Linked DNA regions of Neurospora crassa OR74A. The protein of the gene in region 1 purifies or fractionates together with the protein of each later gene. This does not show direct contact. Links are inferred from orthologs where the notes say so. Each region holds a gene or a part of one and is shown in the gene's direction. Other genes may lie near its edges. The genes, in order: qcr7, cox-4 and cyt-26.

Evidence for each region.
Region 2: the proteins of qcr7 (region 1) and cox-4 purify together in Saccharomyces cerevisiae (affinity purification with mass spectrometry; 4 studies listed by BioGRID, with this or other methods). This does not show direct contact. The link is inferred for Neurospora crassa OR74A from reciprocal best matches to the Saccharomyces cerevisiae genes QCR7 and COX4.
Region 3: the proteins of qcr7 (region 1) and cyt-26 purify together in Saccharomyces cerevisiae (affinity purification with mass spectrometry; 3 studies listed by BioGRID, with this or other methods). This does not show direct contact. The link is inferred for Neurospora crassa OR74A from reciprocal best matches to the Saccharomyces cerevisiae genes QCR7 and CYT1.

What each region holds. Positions count from the first base shown.
Region 1 is NC_026505.1:5,768,519-5,778,265, reverse strand, and holds qcr7 (ubiquinol-cytochrome c reductase complex protein), read left to right. Parts: upstream 1-5,090; 5' UTR 5,091-5,355; coding exon 5,356-5,471; intron 5,472-5,788; coding exon 5,789-6,044; 3' UTR 6,045-6,812; downstream 6,813-9,747. Other genes in the region: NCU08941 (calcium-binding mitochondrial carrier protein Aralar2), read right to left, coding at 2,282-3,075, 3,138-3,696; NCU08939 (mannan polymerase II complex ANP1 subunit), read right to left, coding at 8,456-8,604, 8,660-8,794, 8,852-8,932, 8,987-9,034, 9,093-9,721. UniProt on the Saccharomyces cerevisiae protein: Component of the ubiquinol-cytochrome c oxidoreductase, a multisubunit transmembrane complex that is part of the mitochondrial electron transport chain which drives oxidative phosphorylation.
Region 2 is NC_026503.1:510,734-521,031, reverse strand, and holds cox-4 (cytochrome c oxidase polypeptide IV), read left to right. Parts: upstream 1-3,974; 5' UTR 3,975-4,178; coding exon 4,179-4,269; intron 4,270-4,523; coding exon 4,524-4,568; intron 4,569-4,981; coding exon 4,982-5,140; intron 5,141-5,201; coding exon 5,202-5,302; intron 5,303-5,365; coding exon 5,366-5,530; 3' UTR 5,531-6,279; coding exon of another isoform or gene 6,280-7,041; 3' UTR 7,042-7,235; downstream 7,236-10,298. Other genes in the region: NCU16615 (hypothetical protein), read right to left, coding at 2,677-2,997; NCU05688 (hypothetical protein), read right to left, coding at 6,280-7,041; NCU05687 (hypothetical protein), read right to left, coding at 8,252-9,423, 9,476-9,696, 9,769-9,902. UniProt on the Saccharomyces cerevisiae protein: Component of the cytochrome c oxidase, the last enzyme in the mitochondrial electron transport chain which drives oxidative phosphorylation.
Region 3 is NC_026501.1:4,142,707-4,152,920, reverse strand, and holds cyt-26 (cytochrome-26), read left to right. Parts: upstream 1-5,358; 5' UTR 5,359-5,592; coding exon 5,593-5,667; intron 5,668-5,910; coding exon 5,911-6,065; intron 6,066-6,213; coding exon 6,214-6,276; intron 6,277-6,368; coding exon 6,369-7,041; 3' UTR 7,042-7,653; downstream 7,654-10,214. Other genes in the region: NCU09819 (cyclophilin-type peptidyl-prolyl cis-trans isomerase), read right to left, coding at 61-154; NCU09818 (integral membrane protein), read left to right, coding at 740-1,113, 1,193-1,348, 1,445-1,616; aro-7 (DAHP synthase), read left to right, coding at 3,156-3,161, 3,247-3,307, 3,396-4,298, 4,383-4,543; mbp3 (methylated-DNA-binding protein3), read left to right, coding at 7,809-9,574, 9,659-9,788; NCU16379 (hypothetical protein), read left to right, coding at 10,170-10,214. UniProt on the Saccharomyces cerevisiae protein: Component of the ubiquinol-cytochrome c oxidoreductase, a multisubunit transmembrane complex that is part of the mitochondrial electron transport chain which drives oxidative phosphorylation.

The sequences.
Region 1 (9,747 bases):
AGTCTCAGTCTCTGCTAGCCCCAGTTTCAGTCCAAGCCCCAGCCTCAGGCGCAGGAGAACCAGGCGCAGGAGAACCAGGCGCAGGAGAACCAGGCGCAGGAGAACCAGGCGCAGCAGGGGTATTAGGCGGAGCTCTCGGGGCAGGACGACGACGAGGAGGACGAGGAGCGGGTCTGGGTCTGGTAGGGGGCCAAAACCAGGGACGAGGGTGCAAAGGGAAGAGGGTGGAAGGGCGGTCTTTCTTTGGGTGGGCGGTGGTCATTTTGGGTGTTTTGGTTGGCTGGTTGATGGGTGCGGTTGTTTGGGTTGTTTGGGTTGTTGGGGTTGGTTGGGGTGGAAGCTCTGATGGCTTGTGTGGTTTGATCTGGTGTTTGGGAGCTTGGGAGCTTGTGTGAAGATTTGATCTCGAGACGAGGACTGATGGATGAGGAACTGTGGGTGCTTTGGTGGTTGTGAGGAAAGGAGAAAAAGAAAAGAGAAGGTTCGGTTAGAGAGGGACGAGGGAAGGTAAATAGAGGGGGTATTTATACAAAAAGTGGTGGATGATGGTTTTGGAATATACAATAAGATCATGTTGATAGACGTAGTAGACGATATTCTTGAAACGCATAATAGGAGCGTTAACCATCTCTGAATAGATATTCCCCCTTACTTTCCATACGTCCCCGCTCGCTCCGGGAAGCTACAGATGGATAAACCGAACATGAAGAAGACAAGTCCAGTACGGGACGGACACTCTAGTCACAATAAGCCGTGACAGTCTTTTATGTGCATGTGACCAGGTAGGAAACACAGAGATGCGAAGTCCACTTGGTCTTTATGTCTTGGGAGAGAGATGTAAAAACATGATCAAAAGGCGTAATGGACACGAGGGGACACATAAGAGAAGTCAGTGGAGGTGTGATGGCAATTGTGTTCGGTCTAGTTTTGTTACTATACTATACACTCGTCATATACTTCAATTTAGTCACTGACTCTTCCTACCCCTTCCCTCGCAATGTTACTTGTCCGATTAATGCCTCCTATCCCGGTACTCTCGCTCTTGCTGTTGCTGATGCTGTTGCTGTTGATGATTTTGTTCGCGTGTGAGTTTCTATCAAGTGAGAATTAGCTTTCAACTTTTACTTCGAATAACTAACTGTCAAGCGACAGCAAAGGGAAGCACCACGGTGACACAATCCCAATATTATAGTTCGACTTGGTGTATGAAAGCCATACGTCCCAAGTAAAGTGTGATGGACTCGAGATGAATTAAGGAAAGAGGATGAAATGACTTACAGCATTAAGCTTCGCAGCCTGAATAGAATGCCTGGTATAGGCGAACAGGACCCAAGCCATTGTGAAAGCAGCCAGGGGCGCCATGACTGTCTGTCGTTGATTGATTGATTAATTGTGTAAGTGAGTGACTCGGAGTGCGAGCGAGTGTCTCGAGCGAGGTCGTCCGTCAGACATTGATTGGGTGGGTGAGGGCCGGGGACGAGCCAAACCTTTGGGTTGATGTTTCTTGATGTCTTCATTGTGACTTTTTGTCTGTAAATCAAGAACTGCGTAGGCAGGAACTGCAAGTCTTGAAGTTGGTGAGGCTGACTTGACGACTTTGAATTTTACGTGTTGTTGTAGATTGGGGATGGGATCAGAGATGGTGGTCTTGGTTGAATCGTTCGACGTCCGTTTCACTGCAACCATAGATATCGTACTATACTGTGTAAGACGGTTTACCGCCATGTAAGTGGACCGAGCGTCTTTCCCCCCTTTGATGGTTGGGAACCGATTAACGGGAACCTCCTTTTACGCGCTTAATATGATGAAGTAGAAGCATTATTTGGTAGCAAATTCATACAGAAGCCATTTCTCAAGTCTTGAACATGCCAGTGGTAAGTTGTGTGGGCAAGATCGTGGTCTAAACGCCGACATGACTCAATAGCCCGATGAAAACCCCAGACAGAAAGCCGCTTGATCAGGAAGCAGACATTTCAGCTGAAGCATGTTCAACATAAGACTATATATGCTCGCTATACCGGTATGCCAAATGTATACATGTATGAAGAATCCCGAGTACCTGTACCGCCCTTCCGGGGTATCGCAATGTGATCCTATCTTGCCCCCCTGCCCAGTCCCGTATCGCTTTTCCACTTTGCACGCGCTCCGTCGCTGTGTATGTGTGCGTCTGTGTCTGTATGTTCGCTCCACGCCATATATAAGCTACGTATATGAATATCCAACTTTCGAATCCTTGACCCACTCCAAACATGTGAACATCCCTCGATTCCATTGCACGTCTCTAGCTGCTGGTGCTGCTGGAGATCTCAGGCCTCTCGACGCTCTCAGCCTTCACAGCCGTAGCCTCGGCAACCTTGGCCAGCTTCTCCCTTCCATGCTTCCTCGCCTGCTTCAGGTTGTTCATCACGTACTCGTACGTGAGCATGGTGACAGTCGCCGCGGGGACGGCTCTCATCATGTTGGTTCCCATACCAGCGTAAAACGCCCTCCACCCTTCCTCCTTGAGCATGATCTTGAAGGTGCTCACCACGCCTCTGTACTTGGGCCCTGATGTTGCCAGCTGCTTTGACTCGGCGCCGTTCTTGGCAACCACTCCCAGACCCTGCAAGTGCTCCTGTCCCGGAATCGGCCTGCGCTGTGTCTGCAGTCTCGTCCTGATGACCTCGTGGGGATACGTCGCACTGCTGGCGATAATCTTGGAGAGGACGGAGGCGGCAAAAGTGCCCATAAAGCTTGGCTTGGCGTTCTGGTCGCCGGCGGCGCCGCCCATGCCTTGTCCAGTAAACTTGGTCTTGAGGAACTCGTAGGTGGGAAATTGGACGGCCACATGGGAGAGACCCAGAAGAGCAGGTGTCAATCCGGAGTAAAAGGAGAGAAGGCCCTCGGTGGTGTACATCTTGCGTGCGGCATCGAACGTGGACTTGTAGTGCCAATGGGAGTGCATCGAGGGGCGCGCGTCTTGAAATGCCGACTGCGACATGAGTCGGGTCTTGATGACCCATATCGGGTTCGTCGCAATGGTGCTACTAGCGCCGGCTATGATGGATGCGCCAAAGTTGATGGCAATTGGCTTGTCTGTCACATCTATGTTAGCCTTGAACGTCCCGTTCCGTACCAACACCAAAAGGAAGACATACCCGTGTATTGGCGTAGCCATATTTTGCTTTTGTTGTAGACTGTGAACCAGACAGCCCAGGTGGGCAAGTAGCCCATTATTATAGGACCCAAGCCCCTATACATGCCGCGAATGCCCTCATGCCTCCATATTACCTTGGCCGTGCCTACCAGGCCATTGTACATCCTGGGCTGGCCCACATGCTGTCCCGCGCCCTGCGCTTGCAACTTGGTCTTGATAACGTCCAGCGGGCAGGTGACCACGCCGGACATGAAGCCTCCCACTGCGCCGGCGAGCGCATTGAACTGCGAGTCCGAAGCATTCATTGCCCATCTTTCCAGGCCCGTTATCCGGTTGGGGTCCTCTTGCATTGGGTCGGCCGAGGCTGAGTCTATTATCTCCTCTGTTATGTCTTGCCCTGCTGCTGCTGTCTCCTCCAGCTCTTCGGTCACCGAGTTGGCGGGCGCAAAAGTGGCGGGTGGCCGGGCGCCTGGCAAGGAGCGCACGCCATATTCTGCTGCCGAACTCGCGGGATCTGGTCCAGAGTGGGAGATGTGGTGTTGGGTGTCTATAGTAGACATGCCGCTACCCTTCTCTCGACTCGAGTCGGAACTGGGACTGGGCAATCGAGACGCGGGGATCGAGACGAGATGGTGCGTCTTTGTTCGAGGGGTCTCTGCTGGTCGCAACTCAGAGACCCCGGAGTAATCGGTGACCCGTGATGCCGCCGTAGTGTCGGAAAGAGGGTGGTGATCTCGGCTTGTTGGAGCTTTGGAGTCTTGAGAGGGTGGTGTTGATCAGGAAGCTGACGTTCCCGGCTTGAACGGCGTACTAGCGCGGGTGCGGGGAAGAAAGAGGTTCGCTTGGGGGGGACTGAGTCGAAGACCGAGGTGTTGATAACAGGAGTTCACCAAATATCACCGTTCGTCCGTGAGGCTCGGGGCAGCCGGGTTTTTGCGTAGGAGAGAAAGAGGCCCTGGCGCGGATCGTATTTTGGGAACTTGTTGGATTTTTCGCAATTGGTGAGCGAGCACACGAGCAGGCTCGCTACCGTACCTGTCTTTGGTAGAGGAGCTAGTATGCAGGTGAGTGGAATGAAGGAAAGGATGGGCGAATGTGGGGGAAGTCCCGTTTTCCAAAGACAGGGTTTCTTGGCAAAGAGATGGACGATAGTACAAAGTGCAGTGGAAAGAAGCTACACGACTCTTTTCGACCAAGAGGTACAACAGGAACCTTTTTGTGTGCGAATGCCAGACGGAGGCCGAGGACGGATGGTGATGTTGGTGTGTAGATAGGTTGGTTCTTGTTAAGGAAACTACGTAGTTATCTACAGAAACGAACAGCCAACGCCAATGACGGCGGGACGCGGATGCCAATTATGGTTACCAATTATGTCACCTTACTGCAGTGATTGTCCATACCTACCTACCTGCCCGTGACTCCCGTAGGCAGTGAGTGGATGAACAGCAATTCCGGATGCGCTGGGAGCTGCCTCGAATTTCCTTCCCCTCCGAGTCATGAAGACACCAGAAGCAAGTGTTGGTCTAGGGGCCAGAAAGTAGGTGTCCAGATAATCATGTGTTTGTCCAGGTCTCTCAAGTCTCGGGAGTTTTAGACTTCAGACCAAAGACCCCCAGTATGGCCCGTTTTTAACCTTCCCCCAGACAAGAGATGATAGCTATCAGTCGAGATTCCGTTTCACTGCAGCGAAACAGCGCCAGCGGTCACCACCGTCGCCCGCCAAAAAAGCGGCTGCCCTGGTCGTCGTCTCCAATTCTAGACCCACCGCGGCCCATAACATCGACCTCATCTCTGCCTTGGCATTTGGACCGACAGCTCCATGGTAACCCAAACCCTTGCCAAGAAAACAAATTCCCTATTCTCGTAGAGCCTGAGCTTTGAGGCATCAGCCACTTGGACACGGCTTTTCCCGGAGCGACGGGAGACGGGAGACAGTCTAAGAAAAACGCACGGAGCACCCGGAGCTTCTTTCTGAGTGTTCTAGTTGGACAGTGCGCTTCTACTACTGGCTGAAATGGCTGGCTGACTTTCGCGGGTTTGCTGATTTGCGGGTCGCGGCAATTTGTTAGCTCTCTCCGCCCTCCATCTTGAATCTTGACCTTGGTGTTTCCCAAGTGCGTAGAGACCAGACGACAAGAGAGTGTAGACTCCTCACCACCTCGCCTACCTATCACCGACTATCAACCGCCACCCCGGTCGACAATCATCCATCAATCACCATGTCTGCCCCTTCTCTCGTCCAGGCCGTCGCTAAGCGTGGCTGGTTGAACAAGATGCTCAAGCCCGTCTCCAACTGGTACATCAATGCCGCCGGCTACCGTCAGATGGGTCTCCGGTGAGTTTTTGTTGTTTCTTTTATATACCTCGATGGCCAGCAGTCCGGCCCGGGACCCTTGTGACGTAGGCTCTACCTGTATCGAAACCATCGCCCTTCTATGTGTTACGTCTATCCATCTGTCTCTCCTCGGCCCGGTTCTACCTCAATGGCTCGCGCCCCAGCCGCAGTTCCCTCCCTCCCTTCCACATCCCCGAGCAGGAGGACCAACACCCACCCACCCACCCACCTACCTATCTAACTACCTACCACTCACTATACCATATACAACCGACCAACAACCCATAAACTAACCCACCCTTCCTCCCCAAAAACAGCGCCGACGACCTCATCTCCGAGGAGAACGAGACCGTCCTCGCCGCCCTCCAGCGCCTTAGCCCCAAGGAGTCGTACGACCGCATCTACCGCATCCGCCGCGCCACCCAGCTCTCCCTCACCCACAAGCTCCTGCCCAAGAACGAGTGGACCACCCAGGAGGAGGACGTCCCCTACCTCCGCCCCCTGATCGACCAGATCGAGGCCGAGGCCGCCGAGAAGGACGCTCTCGACACCCTGGCTGTCGTCAAGAACTAAGCGCGGGACTTATAAAGGTATGAAAGGGGAAGGAAGGAAGGATGGGAAAGGATGGGAGGGAAGGTTTTTCCGTTATCCGCGCGCGGTGGGAACTGGACTGGCCGACTTTTTTTTTCGACGGGAACGAAGGAACCGAAGAGAAGGGAAAGGCTGGAGTACTGCTACGCTACGCTTAGGATTTGGAAGCCGAGGATACCAAAGCAATAAAGTGGATGCGCTCAAAATAAGAACCGAAACAAAAACTCGTCCCCTCGATTCTCTGGAACCTGGAACTCTTCGACAACTTGCTGCCAATTGCTTTCTGGAGAAATAGGATGAAGGGGGGGAAAAGGTGGATGGGGGAAGATGGACAGTTTGCGATGCAACGACAATGGGCAACAGCCAAATGTTCTTGTCTATGGTTGTGTTCACGCTCCCAGAACCCGCGCATCTCTATGAAGTGGAAGTGGAAGGGGAAAATGCTTTGAGAGGAGATGGTGACGACTGCGAAAGAAAAGACTACCTAACCATTTCTACTTATTAGAAGGAAAGAAAATGGGCAATAGACCTTTATCCTGCATTCTTCCCCCCCCCCCAAAACAACAAGACAACTGAAAGAGAGAAAGAAAAGAAAGGGGAGGGAAGGAAGTGTCTCAGACATGGTAGCCATCGAAATCGACCTCTGCTATGCTGTACGTTGAAGAAGTGTATGTGAGAGTCATGACAAGTTAGATCAAAAAGTAATAAGAAAAAAAAAAAAAAACTCCGCTCAATTCGCAAATACTCTCATTGTCTCTGTGTCCCAAAGAGCCTAGAACTAAGTAGTAGCAGAGGTACGCAACCATGGGAAGAAGTGAGACAATAACCTACGGGAGTGATGGCGGCCATACTGTAGCTGCCTGTCATATCAGATGGCTGCCTACTTTTTAGAGAGCCCTTGTCCAAAGATACCGCCGAAGAAACATTCCTCTTCTCCGAGACTAGGAAATTTATGGCCCAAACCTGCTCTATTTCAGGTGGCTGACGAGGACCCGAGTTTGTGCCGCTCACAACCTTGGTGGCAGTTAGCACCACTCAAAAGTTGTGATCTTGTTCATCGTGTGTACTCAGAAAAAAAAAAAAAAAAAAAAAAAAAAAAAAAAAAAAAAAAAAAAAAAAGGAGTATCACACATGTTTGGGATCAGGCAGCGTTGAAGACTCCAGTATTTTTTTCTTTCGTTTCTGGACGTTGAAGGCACAATTGTGTAAGCCCGCATAATCATGCTGAGGATACACACAGACTTCTTTCTTCTCTCGGTTCCAATGGGCATCATACCAAAATGGCGGCGGGCATATTGTGTTGCGAAAACTGAAAGTGACAACTTAGTTCTCCTTTCGGTGGGTGATATGTGTGATATCTGATGTGTACCAGTCCACCCGACAACAGAGCAGACAGTGTACATACTCTCATTACTACGTTAACTAAAGCTGACCACGTCGAAGCTGAAAAAGAGAAAAAAGAGTAAGCTATCCTACAACAGAAGAAAGAAAAATAGAAAGAAAGAAAACACTACCCGCACACCTAGAGGTAAACAAAACCCCCCTTTTTCTATCATGAAGCAATGACTGTCTGCCTGTAAACAAAAAGGTACACAGAGAAGTTGTGTAAACAGGAAAACAAGTATAGTATATTATGTCTTAACTTCATTCTCTTCTTTCTCTCTCCGTTTTTTTCCCGTTCGGGGAAACCCAAACCGCCAGCCAACTAACTGTCCAACCAAACCGGGGCAACCAAGAACTCGCTGAGAAGAGGGGGAAAAAAAGACGTCCGCTATAAGCTGGCTGTCCTCTCCTCTTATCTCTTCGGGGCACACCTTTCTAAAGCAAAGCTCGAGCCTTCAACACAACTTTTTGCTTTATCCATTCATGATGTATACACATGTCCTTCTCTCATCGCTTTTTGAGCCGATAACTCATCATCCTCGTCCTCCTCTTTACATACGTTAACCAAAATGTTTTATTGACTGATTTTGTTATGACCCTTCCTGTATACGTTACTTCGTCTGTTGTGTGCGTTTCCGCTCATTAAGGTGTGGTAGCTGTTACCGGCTATCGGACGTTGACGTCAACCTGGGGTTGCCGCGTTCGAGCGAGGCGGGGACGGCGGGCGGGCTTTGTGGGAGGGGGCTGTCGGTTGGAGAGCCGGATGGAGTAGTGTGACTGGAAGTTATTTGTAAAACGAAGAGAAAAATATCCGAGCCGTCCCGCCGTAAACCCCATAACGCCGGTTTGTCACCACGCTGATGGCGAAGAATTCGATGAATCTTGGTATGTGTGTGTCGTGGGCTTTCGTACAGTATGTAAAGATCGTGTTTCCCCTTCGCCGCCGCGCGATTTTTATCGGGTGTGTGCAGACAGGATGTTGATGCAAAGCGAATCCAGTTACAGACTCTTTATGCGTTACCACCCTTCTCCTCGGTGTCGATGTGCCAGACAACGTAGTTGGGAAGACCGATGACCTGGTAGCCGGCGCGCTTGGCCATCTTGGCGAAACCCTCGGTCTCGGCTTGGTTCTCGAAAGCGTAGCAGGGGAAGTTGATACCTATGGTTGTTAGCCGGATTTGTCCTCTCTCGAGCGCAGAAAGATGTTGACCTACCAGAACGGTGAACATCGGCCTTGACAAGAATGTTCACGCCACCAATACCGTCAAGCTCGATCTCGACGTCCTTGTCGTCGCGCCAGTCGCCCATTCTAGCCATGTAAGTGCGGCCGGTGTCGTACTCCTTGTAGCCTGTGAACAACTATGTTAGTCGGTGTCAACCCCCAGGGCCCTGTGGTATCTGCACACCTTCAGCGAGAACAACATCCTTGTCAAGGCTAGAAGCAAGTCTGCGACCCTTGTCGGACTCGACCCAAGAGTTGTAGTCGACTGTGAAGCGGTTAGCAATTTGAGAACTAAATCAAGCAACGGTCCAAAACTCACATCTACCCTCGATATCGCGGCCGTTCTGGTAGCGGTGGAACCAAATGTCTATCACATGTTAGCTTTATTGCCCCATGTGGGGACTATTACGGGAAGTTGTTCTTACTGGGAACAAGAATGTCCTTATCGTGGGCAATGAAATCCTCGAGGATCTTCTTGGGGCTGTCAACAATGTCCACGTCCCTCCAGTAAACCCAGGAGTGCTCGGGCTTCAGGGCAGCAGAAAGGAGGTAGTTGCGCGCGCGACCCATGGCCTTGCGACGAGGACCCTGGGCAGCGAACGAGTGGCGCTCCTCAACATTCTGGCTCAGCTTAAAGTCGAAATCCTTCTCGACAACCATGGCGCTGTGGAAGGGGATCTGGTCGGGGCGCTTCTGGATGCGATCCAGCTCGGAAGCCAGGACAGCAAGAGTGTCATCGGTAGAGTCGCTGACGAGGAAGGCAAGATCGATGAGGTGGTGAGGGTAGGTAAGCTCGGCGATCAGCTCGAAGTACTTGGAGAGATACCTGGAGGCATCCTTGAGAGGGGTGAGGATCAGGATGCGCTCCTCGTTGGCGACGGCCTTGGTGGTGGACTTGACGGGGTTGAGGTCGACGTGGCTGATGGTGGACGAGTTAATTTCTAGCGGGGCGTGGTGGTTGAAGATAACAGGAGTATGGAGGTGGGCATTCCAAGCTTGTTGCTCATTGAGCGTCATCTCCATTGGCGGTTTTGAGGGACCCCAACAATAGAAACTGAAAGGCAGACGCAAACATTAGCA
Region 2 (10,298 bases), on another chromosome or scaffold:
TGATAAGAGGTTGATTGATCCGTTAATGCTCCATGTTGAATTTTGGTTGCCTTGTTTCAGTCGTTCAAGGTGTCGGTTTTGTAGGAGTAACAAGGGTCGTCGTTGGGTTTCGGGTGTTCAGGTATTCGGATGGTAGAAATGTCGGGTATGGAGGAGGAAGCTTCATCACCGAGAAGACTTGACCGGGCAATAATACGGATCAAAGACAGTGAGTGTGGGTGAGGAGAAAAACTTTCTGTTCAGTTCAGGAAGCCAGATGATCTGTCGGTGGGAGAAGGTAAAAGTTGGGCGTGTGAAACAATGAAAAGCTTGTAAAAGATGATATGATGGTGGTGGTGGTGGTGGTGGTGATGGTGTATGTGTGTGTTTGTATGCCAGTTTTCGGAAAGGTCCGATGGGGTTGACTAGGTAGGTATGTATACGGTCCCTTGTTGAGGCGAAAACAAAAGCTGGCAGGGCTGGAACGATTCAAGGTAGGTACCATGACACAAGTTCCGATTTCTGTCCAATGTTCAGTCGCAGTAGTGTATGTTCGGTAGGGTACAGGGTAGGTAAGAAATGCGCAAGTGGCGTCTTTAAAAAATTGAGAAGGGGGGAAGGGAAGAAGAAAAGCTCAAAGGTTCATTTGATTTGTCGAAAACCTTGCAAGTCGCAAGTCGCCCAAAAAATGGTTGAGTCCAAAAGATGATTGGATCACCCGAGGGCTCAGGTGATGGGAAAGCTTCGTATGTTTGTTGTGTAGCTCTACCATAGCAGGCTGGCCAGCAGGACGAAACAGACAAATGGTAACAAGGTTAAACTTTCTTCCCCTTGGTGAGAGAGGGGTAGCACTCGAATGAGGCGATCAGGTGAGACAGCGTAGGAAGGGGAGGGGGACATGAGCTGACCCAGCAGGATGGAAAGACCAGATTCCACGAAGCCTGAATCAGGAATTGATGGTTATGAAGACCAACCTCCATGGAGCATCTTGGTCGCATCAATTGTTAATCCCTATGGCGGTGAAGCTAGCAATTAGACTAATTAACAGACCAACAGCCCTAGCTACTACCTTCCGAGCAATTGGAAGAGACACGAACGAGATGGTAGCACGACATGGGCACCGGCACGATGGAAAAAAGCTGTGGGAAGAGCCGGGGTGCAGGAAGCTATGCAGCTTTTGGGTGTGGTTCAGTTTGCAAGCTGAATGGTTAGAAGCACGCAAAGGAATGACGGGCTAGAGCCGACACGGAAACAAGAAGAGATTGAGTGGTGTCGGGAAAGTCTTTTCTGCGCAGTAGTCTACGCGGACAGTACCGAATGGCGTCTGATTGGTGCGTATAAAGGCTGTCGGAAAGGGGACGACGGGACGGGCTGAGTCGACACCTAGCCGGGGAGAGGAAAAATTTGAGAGAGGGAGTTTGGTTGTTTGGGCGACTGACTGACTGGCTGTGGTTGCTGTCGGTTGTCGCCGTTGGTCAGTCAGGAGGGCAAGGGCAACCAAGCAACACGCAAGTGACTTGGGCTTGTACAGTCAGCAAAAGTGTGATGCAGGCAGGCAGGCAGGCAGGCAGGTGCCACGGGTTCTAGACAATGTTACATGCTGGAAGAGTTGCGGTCGATGCCACCCAAGAGTCTGGGGTAAAATGTAGGTACCTTCCTGTCCAAACCAGAAGAGAGACCTGACATCAGGTACTTACTTGGTTGTCTTTCGAGGTCCGACAGCCTTTCTTCGTCTCGGCTTTACGCTTTTGGCTGTCTGGGGTTTCACCTCTCCAGTTCTGGTGATGGTTTCTACCAGTAGGTCCTTGACGAACTTGTGTCCTACCCATCTGCCAAGTGCCAAGACTCATTATTGCCCTCCTGAGGTTGTTTGAAGGTCGTTCATCATGTCGCCCTATACAACACATTGCAGTGTACTACCAAAAGTTCCAAGTACGACATGAACCCTCTCCTGGGTTTGCACCTTCTTCGGATAGATGAAGATGAGGGAGTATCATCGACCCAAACCTTGATCACGGGGCCTCGCAACATTGGCTGATTGCTCCTTCCCTCGGTGCCCAAATTGGTAGGATGGCCATCGTTCATGACTCTCATTGGTGTTCGGGTTCCAATGTGACTGACCATTTCCAGTCAGTGAGGACCTCAGCTGCAGAGATTGCTCAGCCTTTTGGAGTCTGATTCCTCCCTCTTGCAGTAACCCTGTCGCCTGAAAAGTCCGGGGATGATCTCCAGCGCCATGCACCCATTTCGAAGATGTCGCCCTCTCCCCTTCAAACACTCGGTTACACGAGACTATTCCGTCCAGTAGACGCTACAATTTGGGATGATTGGCCATCGGTTTGTGTCAGCCATTGCTCCTTTCATAAGCAAGGAAATCGGCGGCCTGTTGAATCAACTCATTTTCCAGTGCATCGTCGGTTCTTCATCATGATGAATGCTTTAACGGGCAAGGTGACCCCGAGACACTGACAATGAGCCAAGTACCGAGAGGCAGTCTTGCCATTGACATAATCCTCAAAACGAAAAGCCGTTTAAAAGCGAGTCCTCGGACAGGGTGAAGACCCCGAGCCATTTGCGCCCCAGCCGCGGAACCAACTCCGCCCGAGGAGATCTACTCAGATTACCCCGGACTGATCAGCCTTGGTTTATTGGGTACCATTCAGAATGTATGCCTAAAGACAAAGCAGGAGCCCGATCCTATGGTCGGGTGGCTAGAACAGAGGTAGGTATGGTTCGTGGAATATTCCAAGACTTAAGCCCCTGTCTCACCATTCCATATCGCATGTTTCTCGACACCCACCTCATCCTCATCCAGTCAGGGGTATGCAAGCCATCCAGCACCATCGCCGGTTTTAGTATCGACCACGTGAGTGACATCCAAGACCCTGAAAACCGCTCAACTGAAGCAAACGACAGTAACTGCATGACGGGCTCCCCGCATACCCCAGTTGCCCAACTTCCAAAATGGGAAACAAAAAACGGGGTGCATCGTCTGTGCCTCAACAGGGCGAGAACCATGGGACAGGACTCTGGGGTTTGGGGATGGTGGTGTTCGGGAGGTGGGAATTTTCCGCCACTAGGAGGTGGTATCATGTAGGTAAGAATCTTACTTAGTGGGTAGGAGGCAGAGAGAGGAGTACGTAGCTGTAGGGCGTGGTCATGTGCTTAACAAGACGTCCTGTGTGTTTCCATGTCTTGAGCCTCCATGTTGAACAAGGTAAAATACGAGTGTTGTGTAAGCTCCCAGGCGTCCCAAACTCCGAACCCGACTCTCATATGCGAAATTTCACTGCCATGCATGCCTCCACCTCTTCCACAACCACCCAGCCCCTACAACTTCAGATACCACTTTCCTTTCTGCTCCTCCTTCTCAAGGAGCGGGTGGAGGTGAGAGGGGAGGGAGTTGACAAAGGACCGGTGGCGGTTACCGGCTGTGGTGAAGAAGCTGTGGATCGTTTGTTGTGTTGTGTTCTCGTTCGTGAGTTAGTTGGATAAGATAACTTGCACACTTCCGGAATGGTGCCGCTCCAACTTGCACAGGGCGCCGATCCGGGGATCCACTATCGGACACGGAAGCCGGATTGGGCCCGGTAGTTTGAAGCTGGAAAGCCCGAGTTCCGTTTGACGGGGTGGAGCATTGTCGATGTTTGATTGGGGCTTGGAGGGTTAGGGTCACGCCAGTCAAACCTGCAATAGCTTCATCAAGACCTTCTTCCTTCTGCTCCCAGTTAGCTCAATCATTATATAATCTATGCCGTACCCAAGTCAATTGAAACCTAGGATTGCTTCACACAGTCTCTTGCCATGTATTCATCACGCAATTGTCGCTTCACTTCATGGTACAGTACTGATGATATGAGCGGTCCCACGTGCTGCATCACCTGACCGTGCGCTAGCTGCTTCTGGCAACCAGCTGGGGAAGCTTTCCAGAATGTGGTCCAAGCGCCTCCATTCGTACCAAACAACCGCCCGTTCGCCAGTTGCCAGCGGCAGAAGGGAAGGGCAGCACGGTCGGGGCCTCTGTCCACTGCAGTGGTGCCCAGCTCAGCTGTGGGACCCACGGCAGTGTGGGCAAACCAGCTTCGGATTCGGACAGACAGCGACAAAACATCATCTCCCGCCTCTCCGCTCTCTCCCGGTCAATTCTGTCACTCCGACATCACACCATCCACCACCACCCACCCGCCGCCGTCGCCAACATGCTCCTGTCCCGCACCGCCGTCGCCGTCGCCCGCCGGGCCACCGCTGCCCCCGCTCTCCGTCGCAGCATCGCCACCACCGTTGTGCGCTGTAAGTGAACATTGGAAACGTCTCTTGGTTTTTAGCGGCTGCGGCCTGAAAAAAAGCACGGCATCCAAAAAAGCTCCAATCGCGAAGCTGCAAATATCCGCGCATAAGCATCATCACCACCACCACCACCAACGACGACGACATCATGACCCCACCACCACCTCGAACCAATTCGCGACAACCAAACGCGCATCAATCACAAACCCCCGAATCCCGATCGCAAAACTGACACCATGTTTTTATCTTGATTCCAGGCAACGCCGAGACCAAGCCTGTCCCCCACATCAAGCGTCTCTCCGGTATGATGATCTCCCCCCGCCGGCGATTGCGTCACCATTGTGTCTATTGGGGTTGCTGGAGAACTGGGCTACGCGAACTGGAAGCTGTGGTGGGTCTTTCGAAGCTCGAGCTGAGCTTAGTCAAGCTTGGGGGAGCTTGATGAAACAACAAGAAGAAGGAGGAGGAAAGCATTGGACGACCACAAAAAGGAGGGGGTTATTATCATTGCGCGGACGAACCGGAGAAGAAGCTCCTCGACCAGCTCAAGCTTGAGGCTCCCCTATCTACCACAGCTTCCACCGGCCGGGTAGCTCAGTTCAGCCCAGCTTCCCTATAGCCTCCACTCGCTCCATGACGATGCGGGGTGACGGACGAAACCGCATACGACGAAAAAACATACATGACTGACATATATACCTTTCGCGACAAACAGAGATCAAGACCAAGGATGACCTCTTCGGCCCCGGTGCCGCCCCCGGCACTGTCCCCACCGATCTCGAGCAGGCCACCGGTCTCGAGCGTCTCGAAATTCTCGGCAAGATGGAGGGCGTCGACGTTTTCGACATGAAGCCCCTTGATGCCTCCCGCAGGGGTAAGACTTGCTGTAATAACCTGGGTTGAGAGGAGCTGGGGGGTTGACAGTTGAAAAATAGGCACCATGGAGAACCCCATCTCCGTCCGCTCCGCCGGTGATGAGCAGTACGCCGGTTGCACTGGCTTCCCTGCCGACTCCCACAACGTCATCTGGCTCACCGTGAGTTTTTTCTCTTCTCTGTTTCTTCTACCGCTCAAATTGAGTATTCTAACCAAAAAATAGATGACCCGCGAGCGCCCCGTCGAGCGCTGCCCCGAGTGCGGCAACGTCTACAAGATGGACTACGTCGGTCCCCAGGACGACCACGCCCACGACCACGGCCACGACCACCACGGCTTCGAGGAGCCCAAGACCTTTGCCGACTACGTCAAGCCCGAGTACTGGTAAATTACCCAGTTGTGGGGTTTGCAAAGGGAGGTTTGAGGTTTTTGTGTAGTGGGTTGTTAATAGAAGAAGACATTGACAAATACGATGCATGCATATGACACAAGTTTACTGGGAGGCAAGCACTGTGAATGCGAACCTGGAGAACACGGGGGTGATGATGAGGCTGGGTAGGTGGTTGTTACCTCATTGGACTTGCATTCGGGAACCTAGAGCTGTAGATTTCTACCTAGAACCCTGGGGCCAAATAAATACTGAACATGGAATTGTATATACCATCGAGAAGCTCGAAAGAGGTTGGATTGGCGTGACAGTATCTAGATTCAGGATTGCTACTAGGGCTGTTTGCTCAGAGTGCATTCGCAGAATCATCTAGACTCGACCTTCTCTGCGGTACCGAGCAACAAGACTCGAGACCATCCAAGATAGCTTCTTCTGCCTGGCACTGAGTCAGAGCACCGCAGGATCGGGAACGACGTTCTGGCACAGCTCCCTATTGCTTTTCTCCGGACAGCTCTTGGGTAGTACTCCAGGCATAACGGCATAGACAAACTCGGACTTTGCATCCCTCGTCATCCGCAAGCTTGTCACCAGGTCGCGCATCTTGCGCCCTTCCACTTGCTATTGGGACATGCGCCGGCCGACGTGGTTGTTAGCCTTGAACACACACCTTCCTCTCGGCATGCCCCCCTTTTTTTTCTCCCGTCGGTGTTTATGTACTTCCAGCGCCCAAGCCCGATAACGACGGCATCTCAACCCTCCTCATCACCATCACCAAAGCTAAGCTTGATTTTCTTAGCCTTCTTCATGGCCGTCTTGGGCTTTGGTTTCTCCCCTGCCTGTTCCGTTTTTCCGCTTTGGTCTTTGGCATCTGTACCCTCAGCCTTTGCCTTTGGCTCCTTAGCATCCCCATCTTGCTCTTGATCAGAGTCATCATCGCCAGCAATGACCTTCCCTACCTTTCTCTTCTTCTTACTCGCTCCTATTCCCACTCCTTTCTCCTCCTTTGCCATCTTGTTATTCCCTTCTTTACTCCCCTCCCCATGTTTGTTTCTGTCCCCCCCTTCCCCTTCTCTCCCTTCTTGTTTTCCCTCCCCATCTTTCCCATCTTTTCCCCCCTCCCCCTCTTTCCCATCTTTTCCCCCCTCCCCCTCTTCCCCCTCTTGTCCCTGTCCCTCCCCCTCTGTGGTCCCCTCACCCTCCACCTTCGAACCAGACTCCATCACCCTCCCATCCTTCCCCACAGACACTCCATCAACCACATTCCCCTGTTCGTCCAAAACAAGCGGCGCGTCCTCCGCCTCCTCACTTCCACTCCTCGCTTTCTTCGTCGGTCGTCTCCGCGCAGCCAGGATCGGATCGGGACCGTCAAAGTTCCCGGGGGCATGTTGAGCATGCAACCGAGCGAGAAAGGGAGGGAGGGTAGCGGAGCGGTCGTAGTGGAGGTTTTTGGGGTTGAATTTCCCTCCTCCTGCGGAGCCGCCTCCGGAGCCACTGCCGGGACCAGCAGACATGTTGCGTTGAGGAGCGTATGTAGGTGTTGTTGAATGGGTTGGTGGGTGGTTGGTTGGATGCTTGAGTAGGTAGGTAGGTACCCAGGTACAGGCCAGGTAAGGTAGGGTTTGGTGATGATGGTCTGTCTGCTCGGGTAGGGAGCAACTCGATGGCCTTCTCGTAAAGCTAAGTAAATCGTTGTGGCTTCTTCGAGGAGATGGATGGATGTTTGCGCGTGGATGCGCCAGGTGGTTGTCGCGTTGCGATAGGTACTGTTCGATGGATGGATGGAAGTGGGCGCGCGCTACACTGTAGTTCAGTAGTAGAAGCGGTCGATGGGTTCCGGTTCTTAGTAGCTGAGTGCGGTACTAGGCTAGCGTCGCACAAAACCAGATCGAGGAGATCAATACCTTGGTATGATACCAAAAATCGGATAGTAGTTTGAATGGAGGGAAATTATTTTGGATTGTCGATGGTCACAGGGAGCCTGCGACTGGAATGAATTATCCTGGAGACGGGACCTCGATGGTCTGGTCTGGTTTGGTCCAATGGTGGGAATGGACCCGCTCAACCACTACATAGAAGCTTAGGCCAATGGCCTTGAAAATGCGGGGCCATCTCAGCCGTTACTGTATGTAGTGCAACCTCCGGGGAAGCTTACAACGTCACATCGCCAATATGAACTTCAACACACTCATGAGGGGACCAATCAAGAATAGATTCCAACCAAAAGAAAGCCTGTCTTTTATACCAGATCAATTTCCCGTCCCTATCGAATTAATCTCAGATATATCCTTTGCTGCCTTCTGTGTCCTCCATGCCCTAAACCTTTCTCCAGATCAACCTCATGTTGCTGAACCTCTTCACTCCAACATGTACGGCGATGAAACAATCTCGGTCATGAAACGGCGCATATGTAATGGGCAAACAAACTCTGGCGAGGTTCCATAGATTTATCTATAAGTATGTCTAAGGAATAGCTTGGAATGATATGCCCCGGCTGCTTCATGGCTTGCCCCGTTCATATGCTGCATTGTCCAGGCCAGGAAGCTTTCTTCCTCGACAGACGGGACAGCGTAAGCCCCTACTCTAACGATGCCGAAATCTTCAAGGGTGGAGAAGTCAAAGAACTCAGTTCAATGCATCATTCTATCCCCTTTTTCTTTTTTTTCTTTTTTGCTCTGTGCCCACTCATCGCCTTATCCTCACCATCACCAGAACCATCTTTCCTCAATGGGACTGAGATCCAAACCCCAAACTTTCATCCACGCCATTTCCGCCCTGATATCCGGCCATGTAGTAACTGTTTGTATTGCAGTACGGATACTCCTCGATCCCATCAAGATATGGCTGCAACACAGGAGAGTATGTGTTGTTCGTATTGCTTGTTTGTATACTATCATATCTGCCATAATTACCAGTATAGTTGTCGAGTCCGGAACCGAAGAGTACCTCACTCTGACCGCATGCTGGAGAGGGACCGGAATCAATGAGCTGTAGACCCGGCGAGATGGGATCATTGGTTGAAGACTGCCCTTGGCCATTCCTTGGAGAGGAGAGTGGAACAGGGGCAGTAACTGTGTTGTTAAAGGGATAAGCGGATGAAGCACCAAGGTCGCAGGTGTTATTTAGTGATGAAGCTGAGGTTGCGAGAGAGTTAATAGTACCACGGGAAGGCCCAACATGATTCCCTTGATAGTTATTAAATGACGACGATCCTGGCCTTGCGTCGGCGGTTAAGTGAACAGAACCCGCGGTGTGGGCACCTGAAAATTGTGTTAGGGAATCCAGCGCATACGCTGAACGCTGCTCAGTTGTCGTGTATGCTGCCACTGGTGAAATTTGACAGCCAAGAGTAGCGTTTAACATGTATGCAGAAAGAGCGGGAGAAGGAACGGTACTGGTAAAGAGCCCAGCCCGGTTGTCGCTCAAGTCAAGGGGCGGCATAGATGACACTGAGCTCTGTCTTAAACTTGCAGATAACTGATATTCACCTGGGTCGCTGATGGCCGTCGAGTATGGGGAGAAGTGTGTCTCAATCTGGCCATGATGCCTCGACGCGTAGGCCGCCATTGGAGCAGTGGGAGCACCTATTGTAGTGTTCAAGGAGTACGCCGAAGGCGCAGGAGAGGCATTAGTTGGGGTAAAACCGGTATCCCGATACTGGCTCCGGTTCGGATAGGACAAAGACAATGGCGAGCCTGGTCTTGCGGGTAGTTGATAATCCTCTCGCCGTATGTTGTCCCTGCGGTCCGACTGAGATAATTGGGCAATGACTTGAGGTTCCTCCATCCCCATGCCTGTTCTTTCGCCAGTTCTACTGGTGCTGGGACGATTCTTCAACCGGATTTTGGTGTCATCTGGCTCGGGTGTTCTGTAGGTGATACCTCTCGGGATTTCGACTACCAAGCATAAGCGATGGCCCCAAACGGAAGATAGGAAGTACCACCGTACCGTCTTGTAACTCTTCATCCGCGAACTCCCTGATTGTGTGACGGTTCTTAAACCGCGTGAACTTGCTATTGGGTATCTTCTGCCCATTCTCGTTGCAGAATATCGTTTTCTTTCCGTCCCTGAGCCGCTTTTGTTGCATCTTGAGCATGGATATCATTTCGCTGGTCTTGTAGTTTTTCTCGAATCCCCAGATCTTGAAGTAACGCTTGTATTTTTTGTCCCTGTGTGGCCATCACATGTTAGCTATCGGCCTGACATAAAAAGGCCTGACTTGGAAAGGAAATGTAACGTACGAAGCCAGCAAGTTATGGTCGCGTTTCATAATGTCAATAACTTGTGATAGGCTTTTGTTTTCCGTGATGTATAAGCGATAGATGGTGTCCCGGTGTTTGTCCAACTTGGACTGTCTCTCGGAAAGGTTTGACATTGTGAAACGACTTGGTGCAAGATGGAAAATGGTCTGGCGGGAGCCCAAAAATAGAACAGGAGGCTCCCGAGGCCTTTTTATACCGAGGACCTATTGAATGCCTGTGGAACGCATGACGACGGACGGAGGGGAGCAGGTGAGTGGTTATATACCTGAAGAGGTCACTCCTGTTGATGGGAAAATAGAGCCGCTCGACACCATGTTAAAGTCAACAAACGAAAAGTCTTTCTCGCCCTGACGATGAACCGTTAAAGACACGGGAACAGCATCAGCCCTAGACCGCCAAATGCATCGGCAGCGCTCCGAGGTATGAGGATCTTCAATGGATATGTGTGTAGATGCGCTTACATGTTGACTGGCAGAAAAGAGAGGAAAGGCTGACCAGGTACCATCAGG
Region 3 (10,214 bases), on another chromosome or scaffold:
GGGATCCAGGATGGTTGCGAGGGGCAATTCGGGTGACGGAAAAAGGTGAACATCACTTACCATCTCCAGAAACGTCCTGTGCAACGCCCTCTGTGAATTCTTCATGCGTGCGCTTGCTCGACTTGACGTCATTTTCCAGTTTATTCGATTCCATCTTGACTCTTGGGCGACAGAGTTCTTGTGGGAAGACTTCGATCGAATACCGGAGCGGTTTGAGTTTGGGTGCGGAATATCATGAAGAGACTCGGTAGATTATTGCGCCTGAATATGATGGTGGATGTGGTCGTTGTGCGAAGAGGCGTGAAGATTAGATGGGACGGGATGCTGTCGCGACATGGACCACACCATACTGCGGTACACTATCTGGGCGCAGATCGGCGGTTCCTGCGTGTCCTGCGACGGCTCCCGGTGGGAGGTCCAAAGTGGAGAGACTGATTGAAATCTCCAGGGTAGGTGAGCCAAATACAATTGAAAACGTCGAAAGCTAGTAGTGAGTGCATGAGACCGGCACGATCGGTCATCGATCGCCTTACCTAGCACGTGAAAGCAGGTTTTCTGCGTTTTCGTTCCCATTCGTTTTTCCGAATCTGAGGCCTGTCTTCTATCTCTTTTCTTGAACAGTTACACTTTGTTTTTCGCTCAAGACGTCCTTCAAACATCGATCGCAAATTACACTCGCTCTTTACTAATTCTTCGTTTTACCACCACCCATATTCTGTTCGCCATTGCGCCCGCAACCATGACAATGCATCCCTTGCAGCGTGTCGCTTCTCCATCGCGGGGCCTTTCCGCCCTGATACATATGCTGGGCATGGTGTCTTTCATGGCGAGCTTCAGCTACCTGCACTTGTTTCCGCGGGAACTTCATCTGGGATTCGGAGGAGCTTTCAAGTTCCTAACCATTATTGGCCTGGGTTTAGCACTTGCCACGTTTGCAGTTGCCTTGCTTGCGGATCTGATCTTGAGCCCGAGCCTGTTCAGAATCAAGAATGTCCTCTCGGTCTGTTCTGCGCCCTTGGCCGTGCTCATAAGCACCCTTTACTGGGGCATTTGTGCAATTAATAAGAACCTGGTTGTGCCGCCCGATATGGCCATTCCCGTTCTCCCAGATGTGTACGAAAAACTTACTGTAGCCTATCTGCTGTATGTCTGACTGGTGCAAGTGGTGCTGTGGCTAACAAAACCCCAACAGAGGATTCCATGCCATGCCGGCTATCATGCTGACGCTGGACTTGATGTTCCTGAGCCCCCCTTGGACGGTCAAGGGATATGGTGCTATGACTATCAGTACGACCATAGCATTTATTTACTGGGGCTGGGTGGAACTCTGCTTTTCTAAGAACGGATGGTAAGAACGACGGACACAAAGCAAAGACCAGGCGGTAAAACCGCACACAATTCCGACACCCTCGAGATTTACCAAAATGTCTAACTGTTTTGTCAGGTATCCGTACCCGATTTTCGATATCCTCAACACCTGGCAACGAGTCTTGCTGTTCACCTTTTCGGCGCTGTTGATGACAGGTAGCACAATGGCTTTGAAGTGGGTTTATGGCAAGATCAACGGCATCGAGAAGTTCAAGAAAGATGCTCTGCGCCCTCTCAAAGACGAGTGATGATCCGGGTATTCAACAGTCTTACCAATGCAAATCTAGAGTTGGCTATTGACCGTTTGCCATCCATCCATCGTCATGTTCCTGACTGTTGTTACAAGTATTGGGTTCTAATTGAACTCCGGTTGCGTTTCGTTTGTCAAGGAAGTCGACATTTTGAGACCTGGGAATTCAATAAGCCAGTCAAGATATAAATGTTGATACCCTGCATTCGTTGTGCACAGTCAGTTATGGGGTTGAGGCACAAACATGTACTTACCTTGCAAGAGCGCGCACCCCGGTGCCCAAGCTCCGAAACCCGGGCCGAGTGGGTCCCCCGCCAAGTGTCGAAGGCCACCTGCATTTGGCTTCGTCACCCGAGCTTGCCCGGGGCATACACTACTATGTAGGTACCTCTATGGTCCATCCTACGGTTGACGATATCACAGGCATAGCTGTGTTCCCTTTACTTCGGAGGCTGAGAACGATCAAGGCCAACCACATGCATGCGAACCGCCGGTTGCTCTTGCATGGAACTTTTTTTGCCGCCCAGAATCCTTCCATATTCCTTCCACAACTGTTCCATGATGACGGACCATCCACTGCATGGGCCCGGCCAATTGTCTCTCTGCAAGAGGATGGAGGATCACCATTTCGTGAGCATAAGCCATTGTAAGGAATATTGTGAACATGGTCTCTCTATGTCACTCGCCCTTGAACGAGAGCTCACCGTTCGGGGGTTTGCCGCTGGTTCACAGAAGAGGAAGCGGTTGGATATGGATTGCTCCGTGTCTGACTCTTGCATCGTCTTTGCCCTGTTGGAGCTACTACACTACTTCCAGTAGTGTACCAATGCCCATGTCTGTGCTTTGATTTATTGCATACGGATACTCGGGTGTCTCTCTTTACCACGTACTCACACCTTGATGCCCTCATCCTCCATTTCTCTCGTCGTTTCTCTTTTCCTTTTTTTTAAAAAAAAATTTAAAAAGGAGACTCTGTTGACGTAGCACACGACTTCCATGACGGAATTACCTCCAGACTTTTTGTGTCGATAGCTTGAACTTTTTTTGGTTCCTCAATCGGCCTTTCTCTTGCTTTGACCCCATCACGGAGCTGGCCCACAATGGATAGGGCGTTCCAAGGTACGGCGACCCTTAGCGCTGCCAACAGTCTTGGGTACCGCTACTTGCGCCCCGCCTCACCAGCACCGCATTTGCATTAGGATCCTCTCCAACCACGAGTATCAGATACCTCTTGAGAGGAGTGTGGTGTCATTGCAGGCTCCTGGTTGCCCCTCCTACAAATTTTAAGGTTCCGTACCCAACATGCACTGGACTGGACGGGAGCTGTCAAGTCCCTTTGCCGCCACCACGGCAGCGCCGAGAAAGGAAAATAAGTTCTTCCCCCACAAACCTGGCTTGTTCCGTCCTTTGACTCATAACGAATATTTGTTTCAAAATCATTTAGTTAAAAGTCGAAGGGTCCTCTTTAGTTCCCGCTCTCATCTACTGTTTTGCACATAGCTTGTTCCACGGCACATAGAAGTCACAAGTCCTCAACATGTCGGTACGTCATGTCCACTTAGACAGAGCCCCACGCCTACCAATGTTGTGTTTAGAGGTTGGATTGACTCACATGTCGAATCTTTAAGCAACATTTCTACATTGAGAACCGCAACGTCGGCAATCAGGCCGAAAGCGAGGATTGGCGCAGTAAGTTTCAATCTCTTTGATTCAGATGTGGAATATCTGCAATTCATTACGCTCGGAGCTCCCTGCTTACTGTTAATCCTTAATCCAGTTCGCGGCTACAACCCGCTGACCCCTCCCGACCTGCTCCAACATGAGATCCCCCAGACCGCTGAATCGAAACAAACCGTCATCAATGGCCGCAAGGAGGTGGTCGCCGTTGTCAATGGCACCGACGAGAAGGAAAGGTTACTAGTAGTCATCGGTCCCTGCTCCATCCACGATCCCAATGCCGCCCTCGAATACTGCGATCTACTACTCAAGGAGAAGGAGAAGCACAAGGATGAGCTGTTGATTGTCATGCGATCCTACCTCGAAAAGCCCCGGACGACCGTTGGCTGGAAGGGCCTGATCAACGACCCCGATATCGACAACAGCTTCCAGATCAACAAGGGCTTGCGCCTGAGCAGACAGTTGTTCGTTGACCTCACCTCCAAGGGCATGCCCCTCGCCAGCGAGATGTTGGATACCATCAGCCCGCAATTCCTTGCCGATCTGTTGAGTGTCGGCGCTGTCGGTGCTCGCACCACCGAAAGCCAGCTCCACCGCGAGTTGGCCAGTGGCCTCAGTTTCCCCGTAGGCTTCAAGAACGGCACTGACGGTACCCTGGGTGTTGCCATTGATGCTATTGGCGCTGTCAGACATCCCCATCACTTTTTGTCCGTCACCAAGCCCGGTGTCGTTGCCATCGTCGGAACTGTTGGCAACGAGGACTGCTTCGTCATCCTCCGTGGCGGTACCAAGGGCACCAACTACGATGCGAAGAGCATCGCTGAGGCCAAGGCTGCGCTGGAGAAGAGCGGCTTGCGCCAGCGCCTGATGATTGACTGCAGCCACGGCAACTCGAATAAGAACCACAAGAACCAGCCCAAGGTCGCTGCCGAAATTGCGCAACAACTTGAGAACGGCGAAACTGGTATCATGGGCGTCATGATTGAGAGCAACATCAACGAGGGCAAGTCTTTTTATTTTGTTTATTTTTTTTATTGGGGGCATATGACCGTCTAAATTTGAAGCTGTTCGCTAACACAACGTACAGGTAACCAGAAGGTGCCCGAGGAAGGCAAGTGCGGCCTCAAGTACGGTGTCAGTATCACTGATGCTTGTATTGGCTGGGAGGACACTGTCGCCACTCTCGACACGCTTGCGCAGGCCGTCAAAAAGAGGAGAGAAGTCCTGAGCAAGAACGCCGCTGCCTAAGTCATGCCAATTCCTGGTCTTGTTTGCTTTATGGTTTATGGGTCATTTGATAGGGGTTCACGAACCCTAAGTGAGGGATGCCGAATATATGCTGGCGCGGGGATGGGAACACAAAAGCTGACATTTCTGCATGTGGTGTGTTTTGATAAAGAGCGTGTATTAATGCATCTTGGGAAATGGCCGTCGAGACAATAGAAGATGGTAAAAGATGGAGCGGGTCTGGATCTCAAAACGAAACAATTACCTTGGATTTCTTTCGATGATAATCTCTAGGATCGTCCATGTTCGACTACAGTTTTGCGTTGCCTTTTTTTTTGGGGATGCAATTGTGGTGATGTGTTGGTGTGAAGCGTGATAGCCGTGGTGACCAAATCTGAGCTTCACCTGCGATTACGGGGCCACGGCATAGGTATGTATGTGTGGTGTATAGCTTCAAACCTGGCTTTCCTTGGCAGCTTTTCCTCGGCTAGGTCCGGTCACGCTGGGTCGCCGTGTGAGCTGAAAAGACAGAAGGGGCGGACCGCGGGCAGCGAGAGCTTGGACATTTATGATTTCCATGGGGCGATGCTGGCTGATGCTGATGCTGATACTGATGCTGATCCTGATCCTGATGCCCAGCTCCCAGCTGTGCCCAGTTGGATTAGTCGCTTGTGAAACTTCCACTTGCAGGTCGGGATTGGGCTCGCTGAGGTGTCTACCTTACTGAGCAAGGTAGTCTCAAAAAGCGCTGAGGCCCGCGGGCAGAATGAGGTAAATTAGTGCGGAAAATCCATCGGCCGGGGCCGAGGGGAAGTGTAAAAGCTCGAAAGGCTGCACGGTGATTGGCCCAGCCAATCAGATGGCGAGTGTTCCTAAGATTCCCGAAATTCAAGAAACCTACGGTCCTACCTACGACGCTACGTGAAGGGAATCGACCGACCTTGCACCTGGACGGACCTGCTCGACCTCCCGCCCGCCAGACCTGATACTGTCACCGACATTGCCAACCCAATTGGCCTTGTCCCCCGAACCCGCGATACTTTCCTAAAGCTTCGCTCAGCTTGCCCACCATGCTGGCGAGGACCTGCCTGCGCTCGACGCGCACCTTTGCCAGCGCGAAAAATGGCGCCTTCAAATTTGCCAAGGTTCGTCTCGATTGCTTCGACAACTCTTTCGTCCTCGTCTCTCTGCCCCTCCAAACAACAGATCTCGGCCGCATCGCCACTCGAATGGCTGGGTCTGGGCCGGCTTGAGCTACCGTCAACCTACTGCGAGCTCCCGGTCCGGGGCCCAGTTGCCCGACCATCCCCGCCCCGGCCGAGCCATCCTGTCTTGTCTCCTTCACACTCTCGCGCTCCTCGAGGAAAGCTAACGGACGTGCCCGGCAGCGTTCGGCTTCCACCCAGAGCTCCGGCGCCGCTGCCGAGTCTCCCCTCCGCCTGAACATTGCTGCCGCCGCTGCCACCGCCGTCGCCGCCGGCTCGATCGCCTGGTACTACCATCTCTATGGATTCGCTTCCGCCATGACTCCGGCTGAGGAAGGGTGAGTCCCCTACGATCGATCCGACCATCCGCCCCGCTCTAGCCGCTGGACCGAGGTCTGCCTCATGGGTTCTGAGGCATATACGACCGAGCTCGACTATAGGCATGAATCTGGGCATGGAGTGACTCGAAGCTTACCGTTGACGCAGTCTCCATGCTACCAAGTACCCCTGGGTCCACGAACAGTGGCTCAAGACCTTTGATCACCAAGCGTAAGCAACCACTCCTATCCAGCCCATTCGAGGCCGCGCCTCCAATCCAAAATGACTATCTGGCTCACGACTTTGTTTTTGCCCGACTGCAGTCTTCGCAGAGGTTTCCAGGTGTACCGTGAGGTCTGCGCCTCGTGCCACTCTCTCAGCAGAGTCCCCTACCGCGCTCTTGTCGGCACCATCTTGACCGTCGATGAGGCCAAGGCTCTTGCCGAAGAGAACGAGTACGACACCGAGCCCAACGACCAGGGCGAGATCGAGAAGCGCCCCGGCAAGCTTTCCGACTACCTCCCCGATCCCTACAAGAACGATGAGGCCGCCCGTTTCGCCAACAACGGTGCCCTTCCTCCCGATCTCAGCTTGATCGTCAAGGCCCGCCACGGTGGCTGCGACTACATCTTCTCCCTCCTTACCGGCTATCCCGATGAGCCTCCCGCTGGCGCTTCCGTTGGCGCCGGCCTTAACTTCAACCCCTACTTCCCCGGTACCGGTATCGCCATGGCCCGTGTCCTCTACGACGGCCTCGTCGACTACGAGGATGGCACCCCCGCCTCCACCTCCCAGATGGCCAAGGATGTTGTTGAGTTCCTCAACTGGGCTGCTGAGCCCGAGATGGACGACCGCAAGCGCATGGGTATGAAGGTTCTGGTTGTCACCTCTGTGCTCTTCGCCTTGAGCGTCTATGTTAAGCGTTACAAGTGGGCTTGGCTCAAGTCGAGGAAGATCGTCTACGATCCCCCCAAGGAGTCCACCACCCGCCACTAATTTAGCATTGCCACAACAAAGGGCAAAGTCATGACATTCACACAATAACCGTTGTGAGACGTGCGTGATTTTCCTTGTCTTTTTCTGTGTATGTATCATATACTATTGCTGCCCAAATTTTGCTCCCCCATGTTCCTCTTGCGCATCGGTCAGAAAGAGCAAAACGAAAAGGAATGGGCAGGGGCGGGATCGGTAACTCTGGGCAATGCGGAGATGTGCGGGCGTGTGGGTTGAACATGAAGATGGTCGTAGAGTGTATAAATCAAATTTTCTGGTCTCAAATACAACATAGACGTTATTGCCTGTGTCTGACAGGGTATGATGGTATGGGTATGACGGTCAAGCTGAACTTGCATGTGAGTGGATCAGGATACGGATATTACGACATGGGCATTTGAACGGATGCCAAAGAGTAAAGGCCATTTCCCTGTCAGCTACATCATCATGTACGCCTTTAACTTCGAGAGTAGTTGAGATATAGTATGAGCTTCGAAAGCCTTGACATTTCTCGATTGGCAATCTCTCTTTCACCGAATCACGGTAAATGTCAGCACGAAGTGCCACAGAGGATGCCCCTGGCTTGGCATTTGATTTGCCTTCCAAACAAAGTCTTGGCCCCCTCCCCTCCCTTTTCGATTCACTCACTGACAAGCAACAACATCTTGACCCCAAACTCATCGTGAAGTTTTCAATCACATTTTGATTCTACGATTGCTGGACACCACATATGTAAATCCAAAACTCTCCATCCACTGACAACCAGCAAAATGTCATCATCAAAACTATCACCACCCCAATCACAGGCCTCTCGCCTCCCATATAACGATGTCATGTCACCAGACCTCGCCAATGACATCCTCAATGACTTCAACGTCGACTTCTCCTCTTCCTCTCAAGACCGAGACTACCTCGCCTCGCTGCTTACCTCGGGTTTCGCCCCACCAGTTGAAGTCCGCAAACTTTGGGAACCGAGTCTCATGCGTGGAATGGAAGAATGGGAAATGATGATGGATTGTGCCCATTCCTTGAGGGATCAAGCTTATCGGGTTCTGCGGCTGGAGCGAGAACAAGATCATGGTCAAAATCGCGTGATGGGTGATCCTGAGCTGTGTTTGTTGCCGTTTCTGGGGATGATCATGGCGGGGAGGAAGGAAGGGTGTTTGTTTGACGGGGATACTTGTGCTGGGAGTCTCTTGGGGAAGAGCACGGAAGGTGGGGGAGGAGAAAACTCATCGGCGCAAGTGGGAAGAGGTGGAGGCAAGAGGGTGAAGAAGACGACGGGTGTGATGGGGAGAGGTGTCTCGCGTTTTTGGGCGCAAGACGACCCGGCGAAAACGAGCAGACAAGTGACGAGGGGTCGGGGGGAGACCGGTGTTTCTGGCGCTGTCAGAAAAGCGATGAACGGCCACGAACCGATTAGTGAGCAAGGAAAGATGGCATTGCCGACTCGGGTGATGTCGGTTGTCCACCGCTCAGCTGGGCCTAGTCAGGGCGAAGGAGAATCGAAAGCGAAGAAATCCAGGTTGACCGATAAAACGAAGCTCAAACACTCGAAGTTTCCAGATGAACCAAGCTACGCCGACACCTGGAGTCCCCAACGTAGCCTTGCTTCACACTCGTCCCCTAACGAAAACCTCGATGTCGCCCTTGGCGATGTATCGGTAGCAGGCACATCGAGTTTTGACGAATGTGTTTTAGCAGCTAACGTGAGGATCACCGGAGAGCGCACTTACAAATCGCCCTTTTTCAGTGAACCACCGCCCTGGCCGATATCAACAAGCAAAGCCTCTCCTCCCAAGAGCAAGACCTCCACATCCAAGAGCAGATCCCCAACCAAGAAGTCCCGAAATCCACACCCACCCGGTATCTCTTGCCTCCCCATTGCTCCCATCTCAGCCTCGAGATTCGGATTAATTCAAGAAGAAGTAGCAGCCGACCCCTTCCGTCTGCTCATAGCCGTGACATTCCTGATTAAAGTCCGAGGTACAATGGCCATCCCTCTATTCCGCCAACTAATGGATCTTTTCCCTACTCCCGAGGCGCTCGCCAGTGCCGATCCCTCTGAGATCATCAATCTCATTCGCCCACTGGGGCTATCCGTCAACCGTTGCTCTGTCATACAGAAATATGCGCGGATGTTCATCGAGTGTCCACCGTGTAAAGAAAAGAGGTACGGAGTGAAGAATTATCCGAGACCTGGGGATGCGAGGGGTGTCAAGGTGGGACAGGAATTTACGGGCGAGCCGGATGACTTCCATATCGGAAAAGCGTCACAGGCAGAATTTGACGATGATGATGACAGGATCAACGCCATCAAATTCGCCAAAGAACATGCCATTGGATGCGCCTGGGAAATCGGCCATCTCACGCAGGGTCCATACGCTCTGGACTCGTGGCGGATATTTTGTCGGGATAAGCTACTCGGTCGGGCGGACGACTGGAAGGGGAAGGGTCGTCATCCGGAGTTTCAGCCGGAATGGATGCGGGTTCTGCCGCAAGATAAGGAGTTGAGAGCGTACTTGCGGTGGATGTGGTACGTGTTTTTGAATGCGTTCTCTTTTGCTCTGATCTTCTTTCCCAGGAAATCATTCATTGCTGACGAAATTTGGACAAACAGGATGCGTGAAGGATGGGAATGGGATCCTATAACCGGGGAGAGAGAGCCCCTCCGTGAGGAGATGCGGAAGGCAGTGGATGAGGGACGGGTTGTCTATGATGAGTGTGGTAGTTGGGTGATCTTTGGATGAAAAGAGCTGAGGGGATAGAAAGATGATGTTCCCTGAAACACTCTGTTTGTTCTGAGTTGCAGTGGTTGGCAAGCATTGGTGGACACAAAGTCCAAGCACGCCGCGAAATAGGTTCCATTCACTGTTGAGCCGGTTGTACCTTCCTCAGAATCACCTCTTGTCTGACGTGGGCCAGATGATGCGCACTTTTTCCAACATCCGGAAAGCACCTGCCCTGTCAGGGTCTGACTGACGATAGTGAAGCGACCCTCTTCCTCGCCTTTGGTTGAGTATAGTAGGTAGGTATCTACTACTCCCGCATCAAAGTTCCACATTTCAAGAGACATGATACGATTTTCGCAGACCACTACCGTTCCCAGAAACATCCAACGGTAACCCCTCATGGCTCGCATCACACACCTCGCCTCCTCGGCCGTTCGCGGCATT